2 linked regions of the Neodiprion lecontei genome follow. The protein of the gene in region 1 binds, or shares a complex with, the protein of each later gene. Links are inferred from orthologs where the notes say so. Each region holds a gene or a part of one and is shown in the gene's direction. Other genes may lie near its edges.

Region 1 (13,340 bases):
GGAGGTTCCCGCTTGAATTAAAAATATCATGAGCATTCAATTTCTTAATGAAGTGTCTAATTAGTACGTAATTAGGAACTTTAGATTCATACAACTTATAATAAACATTCGAAAATTCTTACACTATAATAGTTATAATGCACAAATGTAATTGTTGAATATCTGCTGCACTTTTCTGACAAAAATCTATTTATATGCACTCTAGATGTAAATTGTTTTTGAAACTACTTTAGACGAATTTTTTCTATCTCTGTAGGGAATGAAATATCAATTCACAATAATCAAACCTTTCTTGATATCATAGCTTGTGTTATTCAGACCTCTCAGATGCATTTTTATAACGTAGTAGATATTCTCTTTTGTGTTGACAATCGTTGTCGCAAATAACATAGTTAAAGATTCTTTCAACAATCTTTCCTCTTATCTTAGTATTTCATTCAGGTCTTAAGATAATTAATGTAGAAGAAAATTCATAATAATGCTCGCATTTGCCCATGTACCTCTGGTTGAGACTTACAATTAGACGGGATGTTACAATGGAATATGAATGAAAACCACAATACAGCAAGACAGTTGTATTCTCCACCAGGTCTGTTTTCTTGTTCAAAGTCCTAAGGGAGTAAACACAATGACATTAAATTTTTGAATACTTATTAATTTACATTGTTATTATCATTAGTGATCACTGCCTACACATATTGTCACAGGCATGTACGGTTTCAATTTACGTTTACATGGAATTATTTTTTACATCCCTTATAAAAGTATGAACTAAATAAACTTTAGTGCACTAGATATAATGATAAACAAAAATGATCCTTATAACATTTATCCTCTTCCTCTTCCAGGTTGTGAACCTCCTGGTTGGTTTTGCTGATTCAACCAAGGGGCCGAACCCGTGCCTCTGCCTCTCTGGTTTTGACCTCGTCCCCTGCCCCGTGCTAAAAATAGATATATTCGGTGATAATTTGCGTTGGAAAAAGAATATTGATGCATAAAAGTGCAAAACTTGTTAGAAAAATGAGTCTCTGAAACATTGCCAGTCAAACAGAAATATGAATTCGAATCGGATTGCATTCCACATTGCTGAAATAAAATGTTCAGTAGGCCAAAACATGTTTACGGACTTCGATTTTGATGAAAAACTGAAAGATTCTAGATCTATTTGTATTGGTGTGAAAAAACAAACCCTGTGCCCGTAGTATTGCAGACTTTCCTCTGCCCGCAGTGCCGGCGCCTTTGCCACCGGGTCTTTTGAACATCGGGGCATTTTTCAACATATCCGGTAATATAAGGAACCTTATTTTTGAGCCCCTAATGTAAACGTTCTCTAGCTGGCCTACGCGTCCATCGCGATAAGTGACGGTCAGGTTTTGCATTTGACAGTTCATGTTGTCTTCGGCTTCTATTAACTTTCCGCGGTAAACCTCGCCGGTGTTAGTTTCACAGGTTATAGTGTGACCTTCGGCTTCGTGAAGTACTTTAATTGGCACCCCGATCGACATTTTGACACTTATGTTCCGATAATCGACACTAAAATCTCACTAGCTCACGAAAAAACTGGCGATTGAAACGGATTTATACCCGTGTGAAGTCTGTGTCGTTGCATCAACGTTTGTCGACGGACGCCAGCCACTTTCGTTTCGTTTACGAAAATGGCCGGAGAGTTACTTAGTTCGAATTTTGGCCACTTGGCTTATCGTCGGCATCATGGGTCGGCATCACGGCTTACTTTAGAGCATATAATATACTATACATGCTCCAATACCCGTATTCAGCCCCCTGACACTCACCACTGCTCGTATACTAAAAAATTGTACGCGTTTTGTCCCCGTTTTTTAATTTCTCTACGTGGATACACTTCAGATGCGTATTTTACTAATTTACGGAGTGTGTTTATAAAACGGAGGCTTATAGGTTATGATTGCCGCCCTTTTTTTTTACATTTTATAGCGGAAATTTCACTTTTTTCCGTAAGAGGCGCTCAAATCGCATTTAGACAATTCCACTTACGGTACCTTAAAACTGGGGACAAGTTTTATCGCAGAGTGTTGTCTCCTTCCTACTACTCCGTGAAGGAATCCTTGTTCCTCAAGGAAGGAATATGAATACGGGTGTAAGAGTAATCCCACTCAAGTGGCATCGGAACCGTTGTATATGGAGGATTACAAAGAAATGAAATGTTTCGTTGATCAAACGGACCTCGTTTCTTTCGCTGGTAGATAGCGCTGCAGTCGCACAAGGTCAACACTTTCGGACTTTAGAGCATATAGGATTAGGCATGAATATATATGAGTAGGTTTTATGTGTACGTAGCTGCATTTTTTCGAAAACCCTATGATAGCTTGATCTCTGGCAAAGAATTCGTTCTTGTCCATCTCTGTCTAACCCTCCGTGTCACCAAAGTTCCCAAAAGTTGTTAGTCCAATCAATTGCAATCAACTTTGCCACCATCTTGTGCCAAGTCTTGAGCAAGTTCATCAGCATCCGATTGGCCAAGCTCAGCCATTTTGTGGCGAAAACAGCACCAAGAGCGGTTTGGACACACATCTATTTTGGCCGTGTTCGAAAATTGACTGACAGTACTGTCAGCAATCTTTTATCTCTTTTGCGCTACCAAGTTCGTGGATAGCTCTGACTCTGTCCTAGGGAATTTTCAGTACTGTCAGTCAATTTACGAACACAGCCTTTTTACATACATCCCCGTTGACATCAGTCGATGTCAGCGATTTCAGCGGCTATAAACTAGCTTTAAAATCAGGGCTTCTTCTACCGCGTAGATATTTAGGTATTTAAATACCAATTTCAGACTTGTATACCCTGTATACAAAGACCTCGCTTAAGGCTCAGTCTCACAGAGCACGGTGCGGCAACACAGATCCAGCAACCAATAAGATTGCAGGTTTTTGGAAGCGCGAATTCCGCTGCGCCAAGAACGAATGCATGCCGCGTCGCGGCTTGTGAGACTGAGCCCTTAGGCGTTAGTGATTTAAATTAATTCTTGGAGCACGTCGCACGTTAACTGAAGATGATGTATTGCGTACACTTATGCTCTAATCGTGAAATGCATGTTAGCCGAAAATAATTTCGGAGAAATTTCGGGAAATGAAGCTATGGCTGAATTTTTTAAATCCGATTTTTATATCCGCAATATAAAATAAAGTTTTTATTGAAAATTATATTACGTGGGATGAATATGCGTAGGTATATTTATACGTTTCACAAATTGTTTTACCTTTGCCGTTGGTTCATCACATGCGTGCGTACCATTTGTTTGCCTGATTTGTAATTATCTACATACCTATAACATTTTTCCAACAAAATCCTATCTAATTTACAACAAGGGACATTTACACTTTAAAATCCACTAGAATTCTCGGCTAGATATTTTTTTTATCTGTAATAAATTAAACAATACAATTGAAGTGTGTTTTGCCCGATTTGTGATTACCTACATACAATATTTTTCCAACGAAATCCTATCTAATTTTTAACAGGGAACATTTAGCAATTTAAAATTGACCACAACTATCAGCCGGATATTTTTTTCTTTCCTTATTTAATTAAACATATTGTGTTTGCAGGATTTGTAATTACCTACACACAATATTTTTCCAATGAAATCCTATCTAATTCGTAACAGGGAACATTTAGTAGTTTAAAATTGATTACAACTATCAGCCGGATATTTTTTTTTCTTAATAAATTAAACATATTGAACTCAACATTGCAGGAAAATTCTAAAAATTGTTGATTGATGTTAATAGAAGTGTGAAAAACAATTAATAATTAACATGTAGCTCACTCTTCAGAAAAAGACAAGAGCCATAAAATGAACCTATCTTACAGCGATTGGATTGAATTGTAAGAGAAGATAATTTACAATTTATTGGCCAGGTCCGGATAATGACTTGTCCATAAACTTCTTCTTGGCGAAACACAGCCACCATTTGCTGGGCTTTCCATCTTCTCCATAAACCTTTTCTACGACTCTAATGCCAGTTTCCTGGCGCAACTGTTGTAAATATTGCCTCATTAAATCTGAAAAAAACCATTACAACATTTAGAATATAATTCATATTTGTGTTACACTTGAAGTAATGGTAGCAATTTGTGAAAAAATTAGGAAAATGTGTTTGATTTTGTTATTCAATGGTCTTACCAGCATCAGACGCAGTATTTGGCTTAGCATAAACAGAGTTTAATGGGAAACCGGCTTCTCCTGGAATATCAAATTTGGAAATAGCCAAGGTGTACATCTCATTGGTTGCCTGATTTTTGTTTGCACATTTCTGTAATTTCTTCAAGCATTCAGTGATGTACAAAGTGATGTAAATTAAGACTCGGTCAGCTTCGCTCTGTAGAATATTTAAGGGCGAAGAAGTGGTAGTAATATAAGTGTACAGTACATACATTACTTAATGTAACTATACAAATTAAAAAATTACCTTAATTTCGTAGGTTCGAAAGAAAACATTTGCTTTAAAGAAATACAAAGCTTCGTCTATTATATCTAATTCTTTGTTACTGAATGACGGTGCTGGTCCTCGAAACTGGGTTTTGAACGGTAGCAATGCCATGTTGCCAACCGTTTGGTTATTTTCTAAAAAACTTGAATGATATGCCTGAAATTTTATGCAAAATTGGTATGATAATGTGAAAGTGAGAAAGTCTATCAATAGTAGAAAAGCAAAACACGTCAGAATTTATTGACACGGTAATAGCATGTTGACAGTTAAATTAGGTTAGGTAAAATTATAGTCCGTGATTTACTTCAAGAGTAAATCTGAAGTGATCTTTGACTATCAACATCTCGTTAGTAGGTCGATTGGATCAAGGTCAACGACACTGTTAAATTGTGACCCCGTGTTATGATTCATGATATCAAAGGGATACACCCATTTGACAGCTCCTGAATGCGGAAAACCAAATCGACAATTTCAAGACAGAAATAAGTCTTGTATTACTAATTTGAGTAAATTGAAAAGGATAGACTCACAGGCATGTTTGACAGATACTTTTTCGTAGATTGATTATCTTCTTAAACATGAAATTAAACGCCGCAAGGGTGGAGAAATTATTACAGGCAAACTATAATCTGGTGGGGTCTGGCCAGATATCGCTATATCATGTATGTCAGTAGTGGAGTTATACTGTCGCAATACGTATAAAACCGTAAAAGTCACACATGCGCAGAATGCCTCTACCAATCTTGCTGAAAGTCACGTGACTATCACACATGTGCATTAGGGTGTTCGTTGAAAGAAATATGCTTAGCTGCCCGCAGCACTCCGCTGGTGGCCGCGAGTCGAATCTTTGGAAAAAGCTGAAACTCCAATTCAAATTTGATTGCAATGACCAGAAAATAATTGACGTTCTACAATTATCAACGCATCTCGTAAAAAACGAATACGGCATTGTAGTTTACGTGATTTCAATGCTAAGTTTACAAATAATATTGTTTTCCACATGTGTTGGAGCACGTCAATTATTTATTTTACATTTGAATCAAATTCGAATCAGAGTTCGTTGACTGAAGATATACCTATATCACGTATACATATATATATATATATATATCTGAAGTGACAAGAATCTGTACAAAATGGATACCGTTCAATTGGCGTGACGGCACCACGCGTGTATATATATATCAGTGGTGCGAACTGGCGGCAGCGTCGAAAAACAAAAAATGCACCGTAAGCGTATTTCCCCCACCACGCAACTTTTGATGAGTTTCAAGACCTGTATGTAAGACCGTGCTTATGGCAACGCTAATGAAGTGGTGTACTAAAATTGCAAATGCGTAAGAAAATATACTCAAACATTGACGTATCAAAAGACACAGAGGACGATAGATAATCTACGATAAGCATATATTTGTTGCAATTTTAATATTCATGATAATAAACAACAGTTTATTGGAAACTAGATCTACTTTGATTTTTAAAAAAATCCAATTGTGCAGGTTTTCGCGCCATACGGGTGGCCGACATGAGAGAAGATCATAAAATCGCATATAAATTGAGTATTGCGTGGGATATACGGTTACGATAATGACATTTAAAATATTCTACGCATCATTAATGGTACGTTTTAATATAATCCAATAATACGATAACCTTTGTTCAAATACGATATCTTACGTCCCTGGAATAATCGGCGCCATCTTTAGGACTTGGAAATAGCCAAAAGAAAGAAGAACTAGAAGAAGTATAAACGCATTCCATGCTGACAGTTGTGGATGGACTGAGGGTGATCGAGGGTTAACAATCGTTAACAAGATAGTTGTGGGTTAATCACCGGTTGTACAATATCTAATAAAATGGCAGCGACGGAGTTGAAGAAAGAAGAGGTCCGACAGGCTGTTGTTCTAGCAGATGACTTCTCCACAAATTTACATCCCATGCAGACGCTCTACCCAAGTGCGTTGATGCCGGTTTTTCATATTCCACTTTTGGAATACCTGACAGAAACTTTAGTGAGGAACGATATACAGGAGTTATTTTTGTACTGCAGTAACCACGTTGAATCTTTGAGATCGTACGTACAAAGTCAAAATTACAAGGGTCTTATCAATGTACATTTAATCGTCTCTGATGGCTGCCGTTCGCTTGGCGATGCTCTCCGAGACATCGACAGCAAAGGTATCATTCGCGGCGACTTCATCCTGATCAGAGGCGACGCTTTCACCAATGCCAATCTAAAGAGGCTTCTCGACTGGCATCGATTTAAGTCAAAACAAGACAAAGGCGCTGCGATGACGCTGATATTCCGTGATTTAGGATCTAACAATTTTCCGGTGAAAGAAAACAAAACTTGTCTAATTGCCGCTGATAACTCGAATAACAAAGTTTTGTTTCATCAAAAACTCTCAGAGAAAGACAGAAAAGTCAAATTGGAATTACAGTTGTTCTTGGATCACGATTGTGTCCGAATACACAGCGGTTTACTGGAAACTCATATTTACCTTTGCTCAGCGTCGGTGCTTCCCTTGTTTTCTGACAATTTCGATTTTCAGGTAAGTTCTTTTCAGAATCACATAACTCTGCTGAAAAAGTTTGATGTGATACGCAAGCTTCTAATACGATATTATAGAATGGGTTTAGAAATACAATAGACTTGTCAGTTTGGATTGTGTTTTTGAACAAGGCTGAAGTTAGCGATGTCAACGTTACGAAACATTGAGGAAAAAGTAAATAAGTTGCAATTCCAGAATAACTTTGCAGGAATCAAGTGTTGAAAATATAATGTAACGATTTTTCTCGACATACATCGTTACAATGATACTAACGTCAAAATGTTACTCAATGATATTTTTACATCCTATTCTATGATTGTCATTAACACCTAATCGTGGTTTATTAAATTGTTTTGAAATTTTTAAACACCCTTCTAAACATTGGAATGAATTTACTATCAACTGAATGTCTTCAACATCATTTTCAGACCATGGAAGACTTTATCCGAGGAGTCTTAATCAACGAGGAAATTCTAGACTCTCGAATTTACTGGCAAAAATTAGATCCAGAAGAATACGCGCTGCCAGTCACATCTTGGAGGGATTACAATACTTTAATCAGAGACATACTTCAAAAACGTGGATATCCCCTAACCATTGAGATGATGCCAAGTTGTATGTATTTTCTGTACCTACGTAGATGTACGTATAAACACAACAGTTCGATTCTTGGGAAGGGCTGTACATTGGAACGGGATTGTGTGGTATGTCCAAACAGTAATGTGGGAGAAAACACACGCATCACAGGTTCTGTGATTGGAGAAGGCTGTAACTTGGGGAATAATGTGAGACTTGAAAATTCTTACTTGCTGGGTAAAGTGAGAATTGGGGATGATTGTATCGTTAAAAATTCAGTTTTATTCTCCGGCTGTGAGTTGGGTAATTCAGTTGAGATAGACGGCTGTATTTTGGGCCCGAAATTTAAGCTGAAATTGGAAAGTGTTCACACGGATTCCCTCATGCAAATTGATTCAAATGATTGTATCACTTACATCTCCATGAGCAAAGCTCATCCTGACACTGATCAAGAATTACCCTATTTCAAATACACATGTACAAACGAGTCCGACGATGATTCTGATGATCTTGAAGACTACAGTAGCAGCGATGAAGAATCGATTGCTGAGATGCCACTCACTGATGATACGCACATGTTTTTTACAGAAGTGATGGAGAGTTTGATGCGAGGATATCAGGACAAAGTCAAATGCGAGAATTTGATACTAGAAATTAATTCATCAAGATATGCTTACAATGTTACTATTCGCGAAGTTTCCTACAACGTAGTTAAAGCTGTATTAAGTTTACCAATGGAGTATCTCAGCAATTCTGGTTCAGAAATTTCGTCAAAAAGCTACCAGAAGACATTGAAACTGATGTTGGAGTATTTTGACATGGTTATATTGAACTATGTCAAATCATATGAAGCTCAGACAGATTGCTTGCGAGCTATTCAAGACACTGCTGCTACATTGGACACTGTATCTTCAATTCTGTTTGTGTTCAAAAATTTATACAATTGTGATATATTGTCAGAGGAAAAAATTCTTGAGTGGTACGAGCTCGATGATGAGGATAACGATGACGTTATGCAGAAACAGGTGAGACTGAAAATGAAAAAAGACATTCAACCGTTGGTTAGATGGCTACGCGAAGCTGAAGAAGACTCTAGCGACTAACCTGAAATTTGTCGAAGGAAATCATAATAAGGATGAATCAGTCAGTCAATCTGAATCAAAAGTGACGAAAAGAGAAAACAACTTTTTAAATAGTTTTCAACAATGTGAGTTGCTTCAATGATGCTCTAAACTCTAATGAAACCTCATCATCCCTACTGTGTAACAGAAATGAATTCGAGCAAATTTAAACAACACAGGCTAAGATATTCACAATTTTTCATGAATTTGAAGCGATTGAACTCCGATGTTTTGATCCGATTCTAATGTTTCTTGCAATTATTCTGCTCCTTGATTAGACCTCTATAAATTATCTAAAAAAAAATTCAAGATAGCTAACATTGTAGTATAGTTATAACGCACATGTGACATTGGTGACGAGCATCTGTTGTGCTTTTACTAAAAAATTTTGTTTTTTCCACTTCAGTGATGACAACTTTCTCTTCAATTTTTAATATTGAATATTGATCTATTGAAATTTACACAATTAATAGAGATGTGTTTCATTCGTGTTCACTATCATCGGCAAAAATATGATTATTGGAGATTTTCAAACAGTGTTTTTCTTTTTCTCTAACCTGCTTCATACGGTCTGGCCAATTCATTCTTGAGTAATTGTAAGATTCAACTTATATATGACAACTTTTATGCATGCATGGCACCGACGGAAAATATATTTTATAAATTTTACCTGTACAAACATCATCTAACAACACGGTAATGTTTGACCCTTTCTGTATTATATAAAGCATAATACAAATCGTGCAAGAAAAATGTATATTTGCGTAAATGTGTGTAAACCATTATATCGGACGTGTAAATAAATTGATCCAATAAAACTAGTTCCTTCTTAATGCTGAAGTTCAAATTCTGGGATTAGAATTATTCTGGAGTTTTATTTTTCAGTATACCTACTTGTAAGAAGCCGCCTAGTAATCGGAAAAATTGAATCGTATTAAAAAATATTCATTTTGATGTTTGTCGCCAAAATTTTCAAGGAAACTTATTGCATGTACGAAAATTAATAAAAATGAATCGTTCTATTGTTTTGAATGTGAGTTTACTGATTCAGTTACTTCCCATTTTGTTGCGTTTGAATTGTAACATAACTTCAATTCGATCCAATCTGTACATACAATTTCCTTTCTATCCATTTCTATTAGATTTTATCGTACAAATTTAAATTTACTCCGTATAAAATTTAATACGTGTTAAATATTAGCGTTTTGATCGTTTTCTATTTGATTTCTTGACTTTTAAATCCAGTTCAAATCCGTGACGAAAGGTCCGTAATATTATCGCGGATTAGTTTGAAATGATTTTCACATCACGGAATACATTATTTTTTTTTTCGGAATTTCGAATTGGCAGACACAGATATTCAGATACCGTTCAATCTGTTATTTTTTTTTTTTACAGAGTATGAAGTATTTGTAACTTTTAGTCTTATTACTAATAATTGTAAGCGTGGCTTGAATACATAGAGAATGTACTACAGTCTCATTTTTTAAAATAAATTACTTTATTTCTTGACCATAGATGCGAATTTTTTAAATACAGAGCTTAGTTTAACTTCAATAATTGTTTTATTTATCGTCTATTATAGTCGTGATAAAGCGTGATGTGAGCTGTTGCTGGTTGATTTATGTTTTATAATATAGATATAATAATAGGTATAATACGTGATTGTCTGTGATAAAATGACGCGTTATATCATCAATATTATGTATATAATCTGCGTATTACGTAGCATACTGCGTAATTCTCTAAACTATTTATTGTTATTAGCGAATTAACTAAGCGATTTAGCTAGATTTAATTTTCATATGATTCGTTTATCACTGGACGCTCGTCTCATTGTACATTTTTTATGAGGAAAAACAGCGCTTATAATATTATTATTGTATGTATTTATGCATATTGGGGTGGCCATTATTTCGCTTTTGGGCATTTCTTTTCGCGCTCCCCCCGAAAACGTAATCAAGGTGTGCAAAAAAAAAAAAAAAAAATGCGTTTCAAGTTTGCAGGTGCTCGGATAATTTAATACCCATGCCATCGAGCAGTAGACGTTGTAAATGAAAAATAGATGTATTTTCTCGATGTCAATACGCACCATACTTCTTACACATATCGCGTGTCTAATGGCATAAAGTTGTAACGACCAAAAATGCGATTTTAATAGGAAAAGGGCGTATAACTTTTTTCTTTTCACCATTCGCTCTTAAAATAATCAAAACGTATAATTCAATTGAAATCAAGCATTTGAAAATATAAAGGCAAATGGTCGTATGTTCAGCAGATACAACTTTTTTCCACTAATAAGTATACACGAAAAAAAAGGTCAGAACAAAAGGTCGCAGCCATCTTAAAGAAAATAAAAAAAAAAAAAAACCACTAGATCCCACAGATGAATCAAAATCTGCAACAATTCAGAAATCTTTAAAAAATTTTTAATCCTCGACAATAAAAACAAAAAGTTAAACAGTGAGCATGTCAATTTTCTGAACATCGATTATCCGAATCATCAATTACCGGAATGACAGGAATAACAAAATAATAATTTTTGGCAGTTACGCCTTTATGCAATTACCGTAGTAGATAATTTTTTCAAATTTTACCAGAACCTAACGGTCGTATCTATCAGTACGTACGACCTTTCGCTTTTAGTTGATGAATTAATACTTGAGCCTGAGAAAAGTGAAAAAATTTATTTTCAGCAGATGCAATCTTAAGGAACTAGTCGTCTTACAATTAGTCAACATTTTTATGGTTGAATCTAGAAGCTCGTATCTATCAGGACACACGACCTTCCTTTTGATCATTATTAAATTTTAATTCAATTTCAACGTTTCTGACCATATTTTAATGCTTTAAGCTTGGATACGATGAAAAAAAAAATTATACGCCCCTTTGCCTTTTTCAGCCACAAAAGGTCGTCAGAGAGCGTTTTGCGACCTTATGCTATTAGACATGCAGTATAATATCGGTGAAAAGAATTTTTAACTTGGCACACTATGAGATATGAAATCCTATTTTTGTAGATTTTTTGAGCCGTGATCAAAAAATTTGAAAAATTAAAAATACCCATCTGTATTATCTTTGTAATGTTTGTAAGTAGAAAGATTACCAAATTTTCGACTTTTACGATTGGTATTATGTGTGCAATATATATTCAAGGATTGGTATCGAAAACATGTATACATTTTTCAGCTAAAATTTTAATCGCTCGACGGCACGGGTTAAAATTATTTGAACGCTTTCAAACTTCACACACATTTTGATCACATTCTTAAGCGGTGACCGAAAAAGTTTTGCCAAAGCTGAAACAACGGCCACTCTAATGTGTACATTATACATAATAAATATATGTATCTAAGTATATATTTTCTTTCAACATGTTTCATTTTATATCTTGAACAGCTTAGATAAATCGATTTATGTGTAATAATATTTGTCATTGTTACAATGGCTGGAAGGAGACTTTAATGTCAACAATTTTCATCTATATAAGAGTATCAAACCACATAATTCAATGTTGAGAATATGGGTCACAATTCAAACAATCCGAATCAGTCTGCCTGTGACTCACGTCCTTCATCATTTACTAAATTATGAGGCCTTTTTTCTTGCCTACAAATTCATCTTTTATGATCCAAAAAAATCACACTACAATCTAGCGAACTATTGAATTACTTTTTATTCGATTAGCATGTAAAGATTAATATTGCACTAAACTTTATCATCATTCAACTTGTTATAAATAAGAAATTGGCAATCCCTAGTTTCATTGACGTGACACAAAAATTTGAAAAAAATTCAATCAGATTTTGAGTTTATCACTTATTATATGCGCACCACGGTTTATACATTCGGCAAACATTTATACCTTATTAATTAATTATAATTTTTTTGTTTAATAGAAAATGCCCATCGCCAGTTTATTTACTAGAAACAGAGATCTTGAGTGACTTTGAATAAATCCTTCGATTTCAACTTGGTTGTTACAGATTCAGCATAAAGACTCATCTTGCATTGCAAAAATTTTACTTCACGTCAGTTGCAGAGTAAACAAATTACTTTGGCACGGAATGTAATTATACTCACGAGACTTACAATATTATATTGCGACATGTTTTCGCGATAACCTTATACTTGCGTATAGTGCACATCGTAACAAATTATTAGCTCACGATTTATAGTGACTACTCATTCTGTTGGGATGGGATCCTCTTGCAGACTGTGCCATGCTTGATGGCGATGGTCCGGGAATTTGATTGCGTCTATCCAATGTCTCAGACGCTCTCCTTTGCTGCTGCAGCTCAGTATGAGACCTCCTTTAAAGTAAAAACCGCGCATGCAAGTGGATTCACGCAAAATAACTCGATTATAGATTCTTCCTCTATCGAAAACAGTGAAAATATGTACAAGCAGCAATTTATACAGGTAAGTGTGTATCTTAGGATGATTCTTATTTGTCCAATGTTCGAATTTCAACTGTGCCCACCACTCCCATCATTTGTTTTGAAATAAAAAAACAAAAGTTTTGAGCCCAATATGAATATCCTAACTTGATTTTTACCATCCGCTGTAACGACGCAGTTTTCCATTTAAAATATACGTGATTTTTATCTTTTAATGTTATT
Region 2 (13,144 bases), on another chromosome or scaffold:
CGTCCTCCTCGTCCACCTCCGACCACCTCGGGTAATACCTGGAATAGTAATGAATATTTTTAGTATAGGAACACATCAAAAATATTGTGTAAGGATTAATGTAGTTAATCAATTAATTAATAATATAATAAATTGTACAAGATTATTCATAGCTACTGAATATGTGCTTGCACGAAAAATGAATTGAAATAATTTATTGTAAACGTGACAAGTTTGTAATATTTCAGATGAAATATAATTACAATTGCCATTAAATATTATAAGAATATTAATTAATTAATTAATAATATAATAAATTGTATAAGATTATTTATAGCTACTGAATATGTGCTTGCACGAAAAATGAATTGAAATAATTTATTGTAAACGTGACAAGTTTGTAATATTTCAGATGAAATATAATTACAATTGCCATCAAATATTATAAAAGTGTTTTACTCACCCAGCAACCTTATCCTGGAAGTCGAGAAATTTTATTAGCGGACTGACAGCTACCGAATTTGGGGTTGCGCGAAAAACGAATTGAAATAATTTATTGTAAACATGAACCAGGAACCACGGAGCGCTTATCCTGGAAGTCGAGAAATTTTATTAACGGACTGACAGCTACCGAATTTGGGGTTGCGCGAAAAACGAATTGAAATAATTTATTGTAAACATGAACCAGGAACCACGGAGCGCTTATTCTGGAAGTCGAGAAATTTTATTAGCGGACTGACAGCTACCGAATTTGGGGTTGCGCGAAAAACGAATTGAAATAATTTATTGTAAACATGAACCAGGAACCACGGAGCGCTTATCCTGGAAGTCGAGAAATTTTATTAGCGGACTGACAGCTACCGAAATTGGGGTTGCGCGAAAAACGAATTGAAATAATTTATTGTAAACATGAACCAGAAACCACGGAGCGCTTATCCTGGAAGTCGAGAAATTTTATTAGCGGACTGACAGCTACCGAATTTGGGGTTGCGCGAAAAACGAATTGAAATAATTTATTGTAAACATGAACCAGAAACCACGGAGCGCTTATCCTGGAAGTCGAGAAATTTTATTAGCGGACTGACAGCTACCGAATTTGGGGTTGCGCGAAAAACGAATTGAAATAATTTATTGTAAACATGAACCAGGAACCACGGAGCGCTTATCCTGGAAGTCGAGAAATTTTATTAGCGGACTGACAGCTACCGAATTTGGGGTTGCGCGAAAAACGAATTGAAATAATTTATTGTCAACATGAACCAGGAACCACGGAGCGCTTATCCTGGAAGTCGAGAAATTTTATTAGCGGACTGACAGCTACCGAATTTGGGGTTGCGCGAAAAACGAATTGAAATAATTTATTGTAAACATGAACCAGGAACCACGGAGCGCTTATCCTGGAAGTCGAGAAATTTTATTAGCGGACTGACAGCTACCGAATTTGGGGTTGCGCGAAAAACGAATTGAAATAATTTATTGTAAACATGAACCAGGAACCACGGAGCGCTAATCCTGGAAGTCGAGAAATTTTATTAGCGGACTGACAGCTACTGAATTTGGGGTTGCGCGAAAAACGAATTGAAATAATTTATTGTAAACATGAACCAGAAACTACGGAGCGCTTATCCTGGAAGTCGAGAAATTTTATTAGCGGACTGACAGCTACCGAATTTGGGGTTGCGCGAAAAACGAATTGAAATAATTTATTGTAAACATGAACCAGGAACCACGGAGCGCTTATCCTGGAAGTCGAGAAATTTTATTAGCGGACTGACAGCTACCGAATTTGGGGTTGCGCGAAAAACGAATTGAAATAATTTATTGTAAACATGAACCAGAAACCACGGAGCGCTTATCCTGGAAGTCGAGAAATTTTATTAGCGGACTGACAGCTACCGAATTTGGGGTTGCGCGAAAAACGAATTGAAATAATTTATTGTAAACATGAACCAGGAACCACGGAGCGCTTATTCTGGAAGTCGAGAAATTTTATTAGCGGACTGACAGCTACCGAATTTGGGGTTGCGCGAAAAACGAATTGAAATAATTTATTGTAAACATGAACCAGGAACCACGGAGCGCTTATCCTGGAAGTCGAGTTTCACCGCGTAGCGGACCCGAAGCGCGGGATCCGGGAGGTTGAGAACCCGGTACTCGAAATACGTAGCGGACCCGAAGCGCGGGATCCGGGAGGTTGAGAACCCGGTACTCGAAATTTGCGGAGCGCGACTCTCATCCGTCCGCTCTACTGCGCGGTTCGTTCCAGACTGAGGAATTCGACTAGCTGATTTTGAATTGGTGACGTCACTTTCTGAACGTCCGACATCCAAACTATGGTTTCGAACTTTGATACTATGTATGATGATGTATGATGTACGATGTATGATGTATGATGTATGATGTACGATGTACGATGTATGATGTATGATGATATGATATGATGAATAATGCTTTTAGTTTTCACGTTTCACACAAGAAATACACACTTCATCTCTCCTGCCGATTCCAGACTCAAGCGGCCAGGCCCTTCGATGGTCAGCCGTTGACTGAAGATATATTCTTCAGTGAACGGGTCGGCTAATAACGCTGCCGTTCTGCGACAGTTGGATGATGAAAAATTTTGCTCGTATCTTTCAAATGTGTGTTAAAATACACTCGAAGCGTTAAGAAGCCTCGTTCCTTTTTTTCCTGTCACCTTCTTAGGTCTTTAAATCACTACGCTGCGTTAAATACTGTCTCATGTACGGAGAATCCATTTCATCAATCAAAATTGGCGCATCCGTGATGTATTACAGTTACTCTGAATTTTTTTCCATCCGAACACTTTTCGAAAAACTATTCAGCTTCTCTACCCAACGTAGATACTTCACTTGCGACTAGCTAAAACAGCGTTTCGATTCTATGCCTACGAAAATCCAAGATCGAGAGAGCAAATGAAAAGTTGTCGGAATATTTATGAATATTTATGTTATGGAATACATCGGAATATTAATGTTATGGAATACGTCGTGCGCGTGTCGAATAGAATCTCAGTTCGAAATGAATAATTCTTCTATTTTCATATCATAGACGTATTATTGTAGTTAATGTAGTTTGTCTCCTGGAAAATTATCAAATTCACAGTATGCATCACGTATTAATCATAAATGGATCATATATATATGTCGAAGTAAAGCCTCGGAAAGGCGGAGAAGATGTAAAGTGTTCATTCTGGCGTGGATCATTCATATTTGAGCGTGACGATCCCGAACACGTCCGGTATGCTCGCTAGCTAACCCGTGACTGTCGATTTCGTCTATGCGTTGTTATCAACAAACCATTTGTTTATTGCTAAGATTCCGTCATTCAGCTATACTCGTAGCTTGCTAATAACGCTTGATGCTTGATACGGTGGACTCATCGAGAGTTTAATTTCAAATGAAATATCGTTTTATTCTTAAAGACTAAATACATTTTAAAATGGAATTATTAAACAAGATTTGTGATACTCCGACATATATTAATATCGTACATGGACCGCATATACAGATATACTTTTTGGTCTCTGCATCATTACGTATACGTTCTTTCTGCGGGTATCTATACTTCAATTAAATCACTGTTTTGCTACAAATTTTTGAAGCTATTTATTCTTATTGTTAATTTCTTGTATCGCCGACAAGTCGGTAACGCTGCAAGTCGGTACGTACACACAGGCTAAGTACTGGCTTGGGCTTAACCATTGCCAAGACTGTGTTACTCGGAAGGTGAATACAGCCAGCATCGTGTCTAAATCGACAACTCTGATGTTCTGCAATAAGTTCTCAACTTACTGTCGTTGGAACATCTCAGGGGGCGCAAGCGCACGACGATTTTCGGTTGTCACACCAAAGCCCATAAAGGCAACTGAAGGCAACTGTCTTTATATTCTTCAGTCAACGTCCAAGGTCTAGTAGCGTCGACGCCTGTGAAAGTGGGCAAACATATGCGCAAAGTCTTCGTCATAACCGTAAAAATTTCATACTCCCAAAAAGTCACGAATTTGTTTTGACGTGTATCGTTAACCAAGGTAAGATGCCACTATAATCTAATTTCACCTCTACATAAAATGTTAATTTCTTTATCCAAACTTATAAAATTCAAATACAATTTGTCGCGCGATAGGTTAGAAATTATTTGCAATATAATGCAATAGTAATTTTCGTCACAGCACGTGTTACGTTGACCGAAAGTTGCTCAACAATCTTCAGTCCATTTAATTGTCTTTTTTGTGAGATACTTGTGTCTATTTTCGAGGCCAATTATCTCTTGTTTCTCATTTTCAAACCAGTTAGCTCTTACAACAAGTTTTGATATTTCTATATCGTTTTCATAGACGGGCACTATTTGTATCCAAGTCTGACCATTGATAAAGTGACGATGGAGCAGCAGGTATACAATAGCTTACAGTAGAGTAAGCAGGGTGTCTAGCGGTCAGGGTAAATTTGCAAATAGAAGTTTGTATCATTTATAGAATTTCACAGTTTTGTATTTACATCATGTAATTATCAATTCTCGGTTTCTCAATACGATATGATTGAGCTGTTTCATTTGCTGCATGTTATTTCATTGATTGTGATCAAATAGCCCTTCAAACTGGATTACCTTTTAAAATCCGGCAGCTTTTCTGATTCAAATTACATGCGAACTCAAATAACAAAAACAAAAAACACATCAGCGCCTATAGTAAAATACAATAATTATATGGTGAGCCTCCTCAGTCACACGACTACAAATCTTCTGCACAAATCATCCATACCAAAATGCACATTTCCAAATGCATACAAGTTACACATCCATTCCACATTGTATGATCGACATACTTGAGCAGTATAAAAGACGGCATTTTTATTCAGTCTAATTGGGTTCTGTAAGATCTGAAAATTTCAGAGAATTTGGCATTACTCAACTGCTAGACATGCTGTGAATTTTCTCATTAATCTAAAGTTTGGCTTGCAGCTCCGATTTATAACCTAACTGCATTATTTCAATCTTGTAGAGTTGCAAGCCTAAGTCTTCAACGTAATACTATTTTCTTTGAATGCTGTAATTAATCGCAATTGCATATTCAGATTCATGCTGTGCATAATAACATAGAGCGAAACATTCCATTTCTTTTGTCTATTGCAACATGTTACAAAAGTTTTTTGCATTGTGCAGACATATTGCAAATTTGTGCTTGGCGTATGAAATTACCTACTTTGCTTCCTTGGTAAACAATCTACTATTATAGTGTCTTTGGCAATTTTTCCCCTCAAATCATTGTAATAATTCTACAGATTTATTTCAAAAAATTATTGATGACTTTGTTTTACTCTCCATTTTTAAATATTTTTCTTTCACCAACAATAAGCATTGGAACATCATATTCCACGTATCTGGTTTAGACAACAAAGATTAGGTGATGAGTTATTGTATTTACAATTGATGGCAAATTACCTGTAATAACACAATTTGTAGTAGTACAATACAATTAATAATAAAAAATTTTGCTTCGCTCCACTCTAATATGCAGAGTATGATGTAACAGGGTTTTCATGGTTTATCTGCAGCTCATGTATATCTCATAACCGCTTTTTTATTAATATTATGGACATTTTTGTCACCAGACCAATTCTGAAGAAAATAATTTATATTGAACCCGATTTAAAAATCCGTAAAATTACATGTGTAAGGGTGAAAGTATTAAGAATTTTATGTTTATATAATATGAATATTACTCAGACATTTTTATATTTCTAAATTACGTGGCTCAAATTTAATGCTTCGTTGCGGAAATCTATTGAAGAATGTGGATTGATGGAGACACTGGGTCAGTTCAATTATAATTAATAAAATTCGTTAAGTTTAGTTTAATACCTATAATTCGACCTAACTATTTATCTTATGAAATAAAATTATCACAGTAGCTTTGAAGCCGTATTTGTTGAAAAACAATGTCACCCACAATTTTCATCAAATTTCTCGTTATAGCTTATGTATGAAGCCTGACTTACTTTCTGAACTTATATAGCCACGACCTTTTGAAAACCCAACTGTATTGGTAGAACAGATGTCATGCTCAGAATCCCTGATTGTGTTTTGGTCAACCAAATATGTTACAAAATTTTCCTTCAACTTGTTTAGTATGGCCCCTGTTGATGAAATTTTTTAATTTGATGGATTTGAGCGCGAATGTAAGATGTATATGAGTGTTTAACAAGCATCATTTTAAATACATCATCTTTCATATTTTTACATCAATTTTACTAAAATGTTACTATTTTGATCATTGGTTACTTTGTAGAATAGCACTAATCTTAAATATGTATTTTGCTTCCTCACAAAATTTCTGTGTCAGAAGGTGTGCTGTTATCTTATATGTTATCTATAAGTAAGTAAAGGTTCAATATCCTCAGGCTACTTATTTGTTTACTCTAATGCAATTTTTAGTCAACTGAAGAAGCAAAACAACGGGTCAGTCGCTCCAAAGCAAGACATTTACGTCGTAAGCGTCTTATTGCTGCACGTAAATCAGCAAATGATAGCTCATCGCTAAGTCACTTAGATACAGAACAAAATATCATCATAGAGGGAACTGATGTACTTACCAAATCAAAAGCCAAAAGGTTACGAAAAAAAAAGAAAGCCAAGTTAGCCAAGGATCCAAGTCAGGCACTGCAAACTGACAAGGATACGCTTGAATCTAAAATAGAATCCGAATTATCAATCAATAATCTATCCTTGAGTGATGTCTCGGAGTATGAGAAGTTTAATCAAAGTGCGGTGACAAATTATAACAAACCTAATTTCTTGCCTTCTGAATTAAAAAAACAAGCGTCAAAAGCCGTCCTTGATGATGCATGTAAGAGCACTTCTAGAGGGAGCAGTACACCATCAATCTACGAAAAAACTTGTACTTCAAACACTGTCTCAAATGATCAGAGCTTGAATAAAAAACAAAATATAAATAAGTCTGAGAGTCCTGGCGATTGGCATATTCGTGGCCATTGTCAAAATCCGCCACATTCAGACTTTGAAATTTCACCTGAAGGTGAGTTGGTTGATGATAATCCAGGAAGCAGTATAACGTTGAACCTTAACGAAAACAATAAAAATTCTGAGCTTAATAACGAATTATTTCAATCTTGTTTGAAAAATGATATCTATTCCAGATCTTGTGATAATAATCAGATTTTGCGGAAAAGTGAATCATTATCCTTTAACAAAAATTTGGGTATTGTTTGATTAATAAATAGTGTCAAGCTTGCAAATTACTATACAACTGCATCAAGTAGAAGTCATGACAATGTTAAAAGAGGTGAACAAAATCCAGAATCTCAGCTCAGTGAGACAAACGATAGCAAAGTAGAAAGTGATTTATGTAATTGTGACCTAAAGCAAGTAACTCAAGTAATAATAATTTATTGAACAATGATTTATATTTGAATAAACTGCTAAATTGATTGGAAATGAAAGAAATTTTATTATCAACATCTCGAACTGCCATTTTGTGTTGCAAACAAATGCAAAAGTACCAAACTTAACGGCTTCTTCCAATACTCATCCGAAAAGTGTAATGATTCGCTTAACTGTAAAACTGAAAAGCAAATATTAGTCCAGATTTAATGTCCTGTATGAGTTCAAATTGCGGTTGAGATCACAAAGTTTTTCCTGTTCAAGAACAAATAATTTCGAACAAAGAAATTCAAAACAATAATAAAAGTCAGAGGGCAACAATTCCATAACATTTAACGTATTTGGATTATTTAACCTTAACTAACACTAAGAAATCTGACGGTCACTTTTCAATTAACTTAATCCAAGACTGTGATATACCATGTTTAAGTACTGATAAAAGTATTTTATGCGTAAATAAAAAATAAAAATAAAAAAAAAACCTTATAGGGCACAGTGACGTCAGTATTGATCTAGCCAATGGTCAAATTTCTGTAAAGTCGGAAGGAAAAATAAATCTGATGATGGAAAAATCTAGAGAACAAGTCAAGGCAGAACGCGAAGCTAAGAAAGCAGCAAAGGCTTTGGCTAAGAGTAAAGCAAAAACGCCGAAAACCAAGCAAACAATTGATGTTAAAAACAGCCAGGATACACAAACTAAGATTGTTCCTGCTGATGCTATTGAAAAAGGTGTGAAAGAATTTGTTGTTGATAAAGATGCTGTACCACCTAAAGAAATACTCAAAAGAACAGAGAGTGAAATAGTCTCCAGTGCAAGTGATAAAAAAAATGAATTAGTAACTAAAGCGACTGGTGAAAAATGTAAACGAGAGGCCCGAGCTGAGCGTAGAGCTAAACAAGAGGCTCAAAGAGCTGCCAAAGAAATGCAGATGGCACCAAAAAATAAGCAAAAGACAGTTGAACCTCCCAAATTAAAAGCCTCACATGATTTATTGGAGCCTGTTAAGAATATTGTGAAAAAAAACCAGTCAGATAGTCACCTACATGAAGTGAAACTTTTTAAACATTTGTATCGTGAAAGGCAATCGCCGTTAGTGAATGTTCCTACACTGAACTCTAGTATACACCCTGCACTAATTAGACTAGGAGTCCAGTATGCGAACAAAATAATCGTTGGGAGTAACGCAAGATGTGTCGCGTTGTTGTCTGCGATTAAACAGCTCATCGATGATTTTGAACGACCTCCACAAGTCGATTTTACGAGAGGCTTAGAAGCTAGCTTACAAGAAAGTGCAGCTTACTTACACCGTTGTAGACCAATAGCAGTTTCTATGCAAAATGCTTTGAAACATCTCAAGTGGCAAATGAGTCAATTATCAACAACCATCTCAGATGAGGACGTAAGAGTTTGTTCTAAATATTTCAGTTCATCTGTTCACGTATCGATTATGTTTTTCATGTAGAAAAATTTCAGGCTAAAACAAAATTGCAAGATGCTATTGATACGTATATTAGAGAACAAATTGAACTTGCTGGAAAAGCAATTTCAGACACCATAAAATCGAAGATATCCAATGGTGATGTTATCTTGACTTATGCATTGTAAGTTTTTATAAATTACTTTCTTGCATAAAGCTTTTTCTTTTCGTTTATGTCATACTTCAAAGAATCTTTGGTTGAGCCTAATTTTTTGGACTATAAATCTTTAAACGCAAAAAGAACTTAAATTCAAGTTTTTTTGCAGCTTTACGGATACCGATTGACAAAAGAATAAATACTTGTAATTGCGTTTGTTGCAAAAGAGTTTTACTATATGAGTAATTCAATGATCTTGTATTAACACACACCAAATGTAATTAGATTTTATGAATATAAAACGCGATGAAAGAACATGGACTACTTATCCAGAACTTGGGAATAGTACTGACCAAACTAGTAAGTTAAATGAATAAAATCGATAAAATAATGCATTAATCGTACTGCTTTTTAGTTCATCTCTAATTCACAACATACTAGTTGAAGCACATAAGGATCGTAAACAGTTCAGAGTTATTATAGTCGACGGTAGGCCTTGGTTGGAGGGAAAAGAACAAATGAGGCGACTTGTGAGACATGGGATCGAATGTTCCTACGTATTAATCAACGCGCTTAGTTTCATTATGCCTGAGGTAAGTTACTGTCTCTACCATTGCATTTAAGCTCGATATAATGAGACACTTGACTTTTGCATCTAATTTTTTTGGATCCAAAGTATCATTAATCAATTAGGCAACAAGTGTAAGGGAGAAATATATGAATTTTAATCGAAAAATAACTTACGACATATTTCTAAAAGCCTCAAATGTTATAAATTTCTGTAACATTATATAGCTTATGTAAGAAATAGCATGATTCACCTGGTATGTGTAACCATTATTATAGGTCAGTAAAGTATTTTTGGGAGCACATGCAATTCTGGCAAATGGTGCTGTGATGTCGAGAGCAGGCACAGCGCAAGTCGCTCTCATGGCAAAGGCATTCAACGTGCCCGTCTTAGTTGCCTGTGAAACGCACAAGTCGTGCGAGCGTGTTCAAACAGATTCTTTTGTCTACAATGAAATTGGTGAATATAATTCTTAAAGGCACTACAAACTTGTTATAACATATGTCACTCCCGAAAGATTGAAATATGTTCATCCTGTGTGGAATATTTTTTATTCAGCAACCTCTAGATCTAATTAAGAGCAATGATATTTCTACAGTAATTGAAATTTCTAATATTGCATGTTGTTTGTTATTTCAGGTGATGCAGATGAACTAGCTTACCATTGGTCAAACAATGCCAAGAAATCTGTGCTTACCAATTGGAAAACAAAGAAATCTTTGGATCTGCTGAATATAACATTTGATGTTACCCCCGCTGACTTGGTATCAGCAGTAGTTACTGAATTAGCGATCCTACCTTGTACTAGTATTCCAGTTATACTCCGAATCAAACCATCCGAAATTTAAGTTTATATTTATGCAGTACTGTTTTTACTTCAAACCAACATTACTGTTATCATGAACCTTAATTATGATGTAAACTTAGTCTTGCAATCAGTTGAACTGTTCATATTTATGAAATTAAATGTATTAAAATGTACATTGTTTTGAATACTTTCGAATAAATGTTTTCTAAAATCAAATGTTCCTAGTACTGGTATTGCAGGGGCCGTTTTGCAGCCAACTTCTAGTTTAGCGGAATCTGCAAGAGCGGAACCAGAAAAATTTGTTAGTAATCCTGTAAGGCAACCTTTCCCAACCTGAGGTTCGCCGACTCATCTCAATGTCAAACTCTTAACCCAAATATATACTTATTATCTTACGTCATAGGGGTCCGCAGTTGTGAAAAGTTGGAAAAGGCTGCTGTAAGGCAACAGCGGCTCAAGAATACCCTGCAGATCGAAATATCTCAAACTATAAACCATAAAACATTCATAAATTCCAATTTCCGGAACTACAATATTAACTTAACTTTTATTATGACTACTACCTCTGTAAATTTTTGGGAAATTTCTTACAAAAAATTTGTAAACACAAAAGCAAGAGTACACATAGTAGTAGGTGCAACGAGATGTGTCAAATGAGGAAAAATATACATCTCAGATAGATTTTTTTTTCAAGATTTAAGCATAGCAAATAAAAGCTTGCGGTTTCGTCAATTTCAACTAATCCCACTACCATCTGTTTCAAACACTGTCTGTATAATGTAAAGTAGAACTAGCAACCTTTATTTGTTGTTAACTATACCTAGGACGGTATTGACTTAGTTTTCGAGATGTCATTATCAATTACCCAATCGCAAGCCTTAATTGGTTTCATGAATTCCAGATTTGCTAATTGTAAGTCAATTTACATGGACAAATGGCTTTAAATAGAACCTTCAACACAAATTATCTTAGTGTACAGACACTACAGGCAGCGAATTAATATACTGAAAAGAAAAGATTCAGCATGATTTAAGATGAGATTAAGGAAGGGTGATGATATACAAATGTCACTCATGTATATTAGTTTTTTTTAAATTTATTTATACAATAAAATTGTCAGATGGTCTAAGTTATTTTTTCTGTGCTGCAGCTGCTTCGTCTTCACGCTGGTAGGACTGCAGGAGTTCTTGTTTCTTAGTGGCAATGCGCTCAGCCCTGCGTTTACGTGCTTCCCGAACCTTTGTACGGCGAGCCTCAGCTTGGTCGGACAACATTTTGGTCCTAGCCTTTTCAGCCTTTTTCTTGTGGATAAATTCCATAAGAACACGCTTGTTTTTGAAGACGTTACCTTTAGCCTTCATGTACAACGAATGGTACAAATGGCGATCAATTTTCTTCGCCTCACGGTACTTTTTCAGCAAGCGCCGAAGGACTCTCATACGTTGAATCCATAAATCCTATCCAACAAACAACATTAATTTAGTCTACTAAACAAGACCTTAATGCAATATTTGTGTTGTTTCTTTCAGCTTTAGTAATAGTTAAGGCGCTGATACGTTTCGACGAAGGATATGAGAGAAATCATATGTATAATTCATGTCCTCAACAATTATTACAAGAGGTCGGTAATAATGTTTGATCGTAATTTTTGATTGGATCTATAAAGTCTTATTGAAAATTGCAATATGCTTTAACAACATGTTGATCTGATGTGTAACTTCTCATGTGAAACCCGTTAGTTTCCAAAAAGGTAATTCAGTATCGAAAATTTGATGAGGGTGTTCCGTTTCTTTACATTCATATTTTGTATAGGTTCATCTTTGTAAATAGGTAGAATAAAATACTGTGCAGTCTATAATGTGTAGGTACTTTGGTAGGTATAGAAAAAAAGTATGAAAATAACCTTTTTGCCGGGCGACTAAGTCTCAAAATCGATTTCTGCGAACTCTTCGCACTTCGTTCAGCAGTATTTCCATTTTTAATCGCGGGAAAGTTGGAAGTTTTGAGATCAACGTACTCGTTCCAAACAACAATCACTTTGTTTGAAAAGAAAAAATATCCCCAAGCCAGATTTTTGGGTTTGGAAATATGAACAAGTCAGGAGAGGTCAATTCTGGAGGATAGGGTATAGGATGAGCGATAATACAAACCCACAATTCATGCAGTTTGACCATTGCAATAGTTGGCTTCCGTCAAATGAAGGGGTCAACAAGTATGTTGAAGGGCTCGACATTTACTTTTTTTACCAAAAAATTCAAAAATTGGAACACTGCTAGACCAAGTGTGTGGAGCTCAAAGCAAACAATGTTGGGAAATACACGAGACTTTTTCTGAACACGAGTAATCAGGGTGGCCACTCAATTCCGCTCACGGAATTCCCTGACATTTCCCGGTTTTCCCTGACTAAAATCATTATTTTTCCCTAACATTTTGATGCACAATTTGTGCAGAAATCGCTAAAAACTATAGTAACCTAGGTAAATTATGGCCAAATATATTAAAGTTATAAAAGTTTTTAAAAGTTGTTCATTCCGTTCATTATGATTTTTGAAAGTTGACAAAAAAATGAAAATTTCCATTTGCTTGGTCTTGTTAAGTATATATTTAAGAAGGGGCTCCAAGAAGCGAAATATTTTTAGAGCTATTATTTGAACATTTATGCTGTTTGCAATGAAAATCGAGGTTCGAAGAATTATGACTAATTAACGAATGTGTAACTTTTTGAAAAATAAACTTAAAAATTTTTTTCCAACGGGACATTTTTCTTTTAAGCGTTAAGAATACGCCACAATTTATCC

Evidence for each region.
Region 2: the proteins of translation initiation factor eIF-2B subunit epsilon (region 1) and translation initiation factor eIF-2B subunit delta are in contact, whole or in part, in a cryo-EM structure (PDB 7D46), measured with the Homo sapiens proteins. The link is inferred for Neodiprion lecontei from reciprocal best matches to the Homo sapiens genes EIF2B5 and EIF2B4. Residues at the interface, in NP_003898.2 of Homo sapiens: Arg163, Lys294, Arg339, His340, Glu357; in NP_001029288.1 of Homo sapiens: Arg357, Tyr393, Pro396, Glu397, Lys466, Arg467, Glu469.

What each region holds. Positions count from the first base shown.
Region 1 is NC_060261.1:15,629,356-15,642,695, forward strand, and holds translation initiation factor eIF-2B subunit epsilon, read left to right. Parts: upstream 1-5,688; 5' UTR 5,689-6,089; intron 6,090-6,175; 5' UTR 6,176-6,325; coding exon 6,326-7,021; intron 7,022-7,449; coding exon 7,450-8,700; 3' UTR 8,701-11,103; downstream 11,104-13,340. Other genes in the region: small nuclear ribonucleoprotein Sm D3, read right to left, coding at 829-941, 1,190-1,505; actin-related protein 2/3 complex subunit 3, read right to left, coding at 3,887-4,041, 4,163-4,358, 4,449-4,625, 5,000-5,005; rabphilin-3A, read right to left, coding at 12,904-13,031. UniProt on the Homo sapiens protein: Acts as a component of the translation initiation factor 2B (eIF2B) complex, which catalyzes the exchange of GDP for GTP on eukaryotic initiation factor 2 (eIF2) gamma subunit.
Region 2 is NC_060263.1:22,846,917-22,860,060, forward strand, and holds translation initiation factor eIF-2B subunit delta, read left to right. Parts: upstream 1-3,868; 5' UTR 3,869-4,027; intron 4,028-4,333; 5' UTR 4,334-4,377; coding exon 4,378-4,389; intron 4,390-6,429; coding exon 6,430-7,030; intron 7,031-7,884; coding exon 7,885-8,795; intron 8,796-8,869; coding exon 8,870-8,997; intron 8,998-9,385; coding exon 9,386-9,563; intron 9,564-9,816; coding exon 9,817-9,997; intron 9,998-10,177; coding exon 10,178-10,386; 3' UTR 10,387-10,562; downstream 10,563-13,144. Other genes in the region: 60S ribosomal protein L19, read right to left, coding at 11,477-11,803. UniProt on the Homo sapiens protein: Acts as a component of the translation initiation factor 2B (eIF2B) complex, which catalyzes the exchange of GDP for GTP on eukaryotic initiation factor 2 (eIF2) gamma subunit.